Caenorhabditis elegans: one gene and its partner. The protein of the gene in region 1 interacts with the protein of each later gene in a biochemical or structural test. Each region holds a gene or a part of one and is shown in the gene's direction. Other genes may lie near its edges.

Evidence for each region. The genes of interacting proteins can lie anywhere in the genome.
Region 2: of the proteins of npr-3 (region 1) and flp-21, one has a biochemical effect on the other in vitro, tested with the Caenorhabditis elegans proteins (one study listed by BioGRID).

Annotation. Positions count from the first base shown.
Region 1 is NC_003282.8:11,457,997-11,461,752, forward strand, and holds the start of npr-3 (Neuropeptide receptor 3), read left to right. Parts: upstream 1-1,987; 5' UTR 1,988-1,995; coding exon 1,996-2,157; intron 2,158-2,627; coding exon 2,628-2,780; intron 2,781-2,899; coding exon 2,900-2,983; intron 2,984-3,541; coding exon 3,542-3,678; intron 3,679-3,756. UniProt on the Caenorhabditis elegans protein: G-protein coupled receptor for flp-15 neuropeptides. Receptor activation assays suggest binding to predicted flp-15 peptides, GGPQGPLRF-NH2 and RGPSGPLRF-NH2. Likely involved in Gi/Go-coupled signaling pathways.
Region 2 is NC_003283.11:7,791,507-7,794,580, forward strand, and holds flp-21 (GLGPRPLRF-amide), read left to right. Parts: upstream 1-1,860; 5' UTR 1,861-1,863; coding exon 1,864-1,948; intron 1,949-1,998; coding exon 1,999-2,068; intron 2,069-2,233; coding exon 2,234-2,279; 3' UTR 2,280-2,519; downstream 2,520-3,074. UniProt on the Caenorhabditis elegans protein: FMRFamide-like neuropeptide. Involved in modulating locomotion quiescence during the sleep-like state called lethargus which occurs during molting between larval and adult stages, acting via the G-protein coupled receptor npr-1.

The DNA of each region.
Region 1 (3,756 bases):
GTCTGCAAGAAAAAGTCCGTGGGAAACTATCTTGAACTGTTATCCAACAGAAGAATTCTACAATCTTTAGAAATTCTCCTAGAGTTCTCCTTTTATTTAAAAACAACACTTGAAAATTGTCTGAAGTATATTTTCAATTGTTTATTTGGTAAATTTGTGTTTCCGATTTTCTGATAATTTATTAAACTTAAAATTTATAATTTATTGTTGAAGTGCCTTATATTAGTCTTGCTTTTTCGAAAAATATTTATTTAATTCACATTGTTTAAAAGTAAAGTAGCGCCAGTGGGGAAAGTGTTATAAACTACTCCTATGGTATCAAAATGGCCGATTAATAAAATACTAATAAAAATTTTCAAAAATATTTTTAAATGTTTTTATTTCTGTCAAAAAGTGACAATTACTCAGTTTTTGGCACTCATAAATTTGGAAGTCGACCAAAAAATGGTTTTCCTACATTTTTTATACTGTAATTTTGTTTTAATTATTTGTATCAAAACATTGTAGGGGTTGGAACATGCGACATTGCTTTGGATTTCCTTAGCATCTATAAATTCCGAAATAATGTTGCCTCTATTTTCGAAACCACCCTTCAAAAGGCCTTTTTCTTCATTGCCTATGCAAATTTGTGCTTCTGAAAATAACATAGGCTTGTACTCACTCTGAAAACATCATAAATTATAAAGATTCTTGAACTCTTACCGTACATCTTTTTTAAGTTTGTGTCTCTGCAGGAAATCTTTATTTTCCGATTCATAAAAGAGTACTGTAATTTTGATAAACTCCCTTTCAATGAAAAACTCCCATTTTTGTAGTAGTACTTTTTTATCATTTTCGACTTGTCACAGAAAAAGAAGTCAATTGAAGTGGAAGGAGCAAGAAGAAAAGGTCCGTTTGTGTAATTGAAACAACCTACTTGTCTCATATGTTATGCAACACGTGTTGTCGTTTTTGTCAATTATTAGTAAAGAAAATAAGTCGGTCGGAAAAATGGAAATTAGTTTGCACCCTGCCATTTTTTCCTTCTTCTTTTCCTCACTCCCCCACAGACTCCCGCCTCCCTTCCTCATTCACAATAATTTCTTCGTGTTTCCAGTAATAACCGCTAGGGGTGAACGAAGAAAAAGAAGAAACACACGTTTAAGCCTTGAAAGCTGAAGCTGCTTCAGGCTCCGCCTTTTAAAGGAAGGAAGCAGGAGGAGTTGCATTATGCATCAGGCTTGATCTTGTTCGGCGAAAATTTCTAGTTATGAGTCATTTTCACTTTCTTTTCGGAGAAGACATTGATTATAGATGTCACATTTTTCTAGACATCATTTTTATAATTTCTAGGTTCTATGTTTTTGTTTAGTTGGAGGATCCTTGTTTTTCCGTGTTCTTCAGATAATAGGCTATTTTTAAGAGTTTTCTTGAATTTTTAAGCTATATTATTTTTGAAAACTCACGACTTAAATATTGCGATCTCAGAATCCTTGTGTGCCTTCCGGAAATCGCATCAAAATTGAACATAATTTTTCATATTTAATACGTAACTGCTATTTCTAAGAGAGAAGGCTCGCTGACATTAATGTTTAAAATGGTGTATTTTCTTTCAAATCGGCTCCATGAATTTGTGAATTTTGTTGTCAGCTCTAACTAGGGTACTCTGTGAATTTAAGTGGAATCGAGTGTATGAAAACCTTGAAAATGTTTTCAAATTTATTAACAATACGGAGTGGGAGCTACAACGGTAGGGTGTCGTTGCGGAGTTCCCCGTGCTGAAAATTTTGAAATTTCCATTTTATGATGGTTTTTTTTCTTTTCAAAATTTTCTTCTGATCATATTAGTGACCCAATTTCCTTGTCAATCTCAATGAATCCTCATTAATATTCGTTTCCTGTTTTTTCTCCAATCTCTCATTTCACCCCAACGACTTGGCTATATATTTTTGTTCTCCTCTTCTGGAATTTTTGAAAATTTTAATTTAAAAATTTTAAATATTTACAGAAATCAAAATGGAGGGTGGTCGAAACTGTGTAATGACAGTACAACAGTGGCAACCTGAATACAATGATATGAACCAGATAAGAGCAATATTCTCGTTACTGTACCTTCTTGTTTGGGTTGGAGCTATTGTTGGCAACACTCTAGTACTTTATGTACTCACTTTTAATCAGGTATTTTTTGTTGAGAAAAATCGACTTTGTTCTCGAGTTTATATGAGAAAAAGTGTTATTTTGTTGAAAAACCTTGGTTATAATTTCTAAAAAAAAATTTTAAATTAAAATTTGTACCATTCCGGAATTTTTTTTTTGAAACAATCAGAATACTACATAGAATTTTTTTTTTCAAAAAATACGAGCGGTTCCCCCTTTTAAGAGGATTTTTGAGGACTTCAACTTTCAGTTTTGAAAGTTCTTAGGCTTCATTAAAATCTTCCGTATCTCTCTTCTCGCATTCAATTCAAAAAAATTGTTTTTGATACTACCATCATCTCAAATTTCCGGTATTTTATTCATCGAATTTCCTAGTGAATCAAGAATCTTTCATACATGATTGAAAGTACAATTACCGAACCACCTCCAGAATTCGTCATTGAGCTCAAAGTGCCCGAAAAGAGTTCATTAAGCTAATTTGCCAACTTCAGGTATCACTGTCAGTTAGGACGGTATTTGTTGGATGTCTAGCTGGTTCAGACCTTCTAATGTGCCTTTTCTCGTTGCCAATTACCGCGATTTCTATATTTTCAAGAGTTTGGGTATTTCCTGCTATATTTTGCAAGTTGATCGGAGTTTTCCAGGTGAGATTTGTATAAGATTTTCAGGATTTATAAATAAATGTCTAGACTCTGAAATACTGTGTATTAATCAGAATAACAGGAGCGAACAGAAATTTGAATTAAAATCAGAAACTTTTCAGGGCGGTACGATTTTTGTCTCATCATTCACATTAACAGTTATTGCTCTGGACAGATGTGTACTAATTCTACGTCCAAATCAGGAGGTAGGCTCTCCCCAAAAAACAGTCCAGAAGTTCTGCAGTAAACTTTTCTGAGCAGATAAAAATTGATGTGGTTTGGAGCCTTCTTTTTCTATGCCTCTTTTCATTATTTTTTCCATGTATTATTGTCGAGAATGTCTTCCAAGTAAAAATCTTCTATGTATTTCTTTGTGTGTTTAAGTACAATATTAATGGAAACTTGTTCTTCTTCAGAATATGATCTTCTGAAAGGCGGGAAAAATAATTAGACTGGTCATTTTATTTTGATCCTTGGACAATCAAGGACTTCAACTTTCCCGTTTTGTAGTCGTTTTTTCAATCGGGAAACTGTGTTAACCTACCTTCCTGTCTTCAAGGCGACCTACGCCTACCCGTTAAAAGCCTTATACCAGGCCGACCGGGGCGTAAGCTTGAAGAAAGGTGATTCTCTAACATGATAACATCCTTTTCATGGCGATCTAAATACCCTTGATACAATTTGATTTTAATTTAAAAATTGCGTTTAAAATAAAATTTTTAATTTAATAATCTATATAATTTGTCTAAATTTTTAAATTGCAGATAGTAAATTTCCCGAGAGCTGTCTTCATTGTTTTCTGCATTTGGCTTCTCGGATACTCTCTAGCACTTCCTGTAGGCATCTACAGCGACATTGCAGTATACGACGAAATTTGCGGCACATTCTGTGAAGAGAATTGGTGCGTCATTTGTCTCATTGATTTGACCAATTATCTTGCATTATTTCTTTTTCACTTCCCATAATTATCCCAATTATT
Region 2 (3,074 bases), on another chromosome or scaffold:
TTCAGTCTTCGATATCATTCCTCGAAAAATCACAAATACATATGGTGATGTGAATACTCGTCTGTAATTGTTAGGTGGCCACTTCGTAAAATGCTGATATTTCCAAAACCAAAATATAAGAGATCTTGGAGAAAACGCGTCAAAAACCAGCATTTGACGTGTACCTCTACAAATTCTTTCACCTGCCAAATGTTAAATTTGATCTACTGACCCACTAAAACACTACTTTTTTTGTTACCAATGACAATTTTTATGCGACTTTGACATTTGGACAGGGAAAAGTTTTTCCATTCTTTAGTTTGAAACCGAGTCCAAAAATTACAAAATTTTCAAGTTTTTATGCCTCGCTAAACTCTCTAAAGAAGTTTAACTTTGAAAGTCAATGAGCCAACGAAAATTTGTTTCCTCTTCTTCGATGATGACGAAATGTGCCCCGAAGTAACTCGATAATCGTGGAAATCTCTACTTTTTTCGGCTCATAAAGCTTCTTTATTTCTTTTTTTGGTTTTCATCGAAAACTTATCGTATCAAAAACTACCAACTTTTTTGAATATTTGTAAGACTACATTTTCTCATCACTTTTACCCTCCACCTCATCGTTCATCACATTTATCTTACTCCCACTTGCTCTTCACATCACTTTTGTGGGTATATCAATTGGTTGGTGTTTTTTATGTGTTTGTGAATGTTTTGGGGAAGGCTGTGCAAAAATATCAGAAAAAAGAAGAACCTACATGCATTTTGAGGTGGTCTTCATTGTGACTGTTCCTCATTTGGTTGAGATGTCTGCGAATATTAAAAATCTTAAAGACTTTTTTGACCAAAACAATGTGGTATTAAAGGGGAAAAGAAAGAAGAACGTATGTCAACAGTTTTCCTAGTTCAGTCCTAGATTTTTTTTTCAAATCAACTGTCACATTTTTAAAAGGTTAGATGTGTTGTGGAAATCTCTACTTTTCAATTAAAGTTTAATAACTTTTGGCTGTATCAAATACGTGCATTGAAACTCAACTGTTCTCACCTTAAAGTTTTCTGATGCGTTTACAGTCGGGACCAACTACTTACACTGAAACATGTTTATCTTAATTAAGCGGAGCACACTTCCTTTTATTCAAAAAACCTCATAATGCACAAGACGCTGTTTGCTTTCTTTCAAGACCGTAATTAGACAAAGTCATCGAGCAGTAGATTTTTCAAGTCAGCTATTTTCTTTATTCCAAAAACTGCATATTTGTAATACTCATGAATTTTTCATATTTTATGGTTACTCAAAATCTACACGTCTTTATTACAATCTCTCGTTGAATTATCGCGTAAAATTACATCTTCCAAAATAGGACCATTGTTGTTTTCAAGTCATAGCATATTTTAACGCGATTTCCGGCCACCTCAACTATGCTCTGCAACGAGTATGACGTGCCCAATAAATATTGGGCTATCCTGTTTTCCCACCACATACACCCTCCTCATAGTTCCCAGAAAAAACTTTTACCGGAATCACGTATACATATAACATCATCTTACCTGAAAAAACATTTCGATGTATCATTTGCCTAGGTTCTAGGATGGGTGGTTGCTCTTGGAGCAAAGGTCATTTTTGTGAGTAGTCCAGTAGATTTGGAAGGGGATACACTGAAATATTCATTTCTTGTTTCAAAGCTACCGTAGTGATCACTTCCGTCTTACTATTTATCTCAAAACTTCTTTTTTTCCACCCCATCCCATCATGCTTCGCAAGAATCTCATTAACAAATGCAAATTTACAACGATGACTATGTACACTATTTAAGATTTGATTGTGTATTCAACGTTTGATCTCCCACCCTCTCATTGCTCCAAAATCCAAAAAGTCATTTTCAGACGATGCGGCTGTTCATCTTGCTTTCGTGTCTTCTCGCGTGGGTCCTCGCAGCGCCTTATATCGATCAGGAAGATGCGCTCCGCGTTTGTAAGTTTTGTCAAAGTTAAAGATTTAGATTAATCATTAATCTTTTTCAGTGAACGCATATTTGGAGCAATTCGGACCCGGCAGTGACAGAGTTTACTATGTTGCCGAAGACGATCATGGGTAGGTCCAGTTTAATTATTTTCTGATAGACATCTTTATTAAGTCAAGTCTTACTGTAGAATAAGTTGCAAATCGCTATAATTAATAATTTACCGAAATACGAGCATTCAGCTAGAATAAATTAGTTGCGATTCAGAAAAAAGTAAACTAATTTTAAAATTTCAGATCAATGAAACGTGGTCTCGGTCCTCGTCCTCTCCGATTTGGATAAACGGTTGCTGCTCGAACGAACGAACAACATGACACAACATTTTCTCTCTTTCCTCTCAATGTAACTTTATACAAAAATGATGTTCCAGACACTCCACAATTCCAATTCCGAAGAAATATCTATCCTCTCCTTTTCTCTTTGAAAACGCTGCAGAAACAATGTTCTTTTTACTCTCTCTCTCTTTTTCTATCTCACTTCCTCTTTTTCTGTTGAACAAATAAAAACAGCTTTCAGTTTGACATTTGACTTTTTATTAAGTTTATGAGTGCCCTTATATTTAAGAATTTTCCAATTGTGCAATTGTACCCTGCAACTGTAATGGTAGAATCCGGGAAAATCAGTCAGGATTACATTAATGAAACAGTTGGTGTCTTCCCTGCAGGGGTTGAACAAACATTATGGATACTGTTTCAAGGATCGTAGTTGCCGTAATAAATCCATTGAGGCGTCTATCTCTTGAATTTCTAACATAATGTGCCGACTATATAGTAATAAAGCTCCTGAAATTGAGTTTTGGGTGCCAATTTTGTAGTTTTGTGGAAAGTGTAATGATCGTTGAATTTTGGTTTTTGATGATTTTTAAGAACATTTTCCGAGAAATTTCGTATGGCAATTAATACATGGAAAAAATCAGTCCTAGGGATTTTATTCACAATAAAACCGAGAATTCCCTAGAATTGAAGATAAAGTAGTACTTATACATAGTTTCCTACCAAAGCCGAGCCGATTGCAAAAGTTTCGAAAAAATAAAATATCCAATTCGGTTTATGATTACCGCGAAAACAGAAAATAACA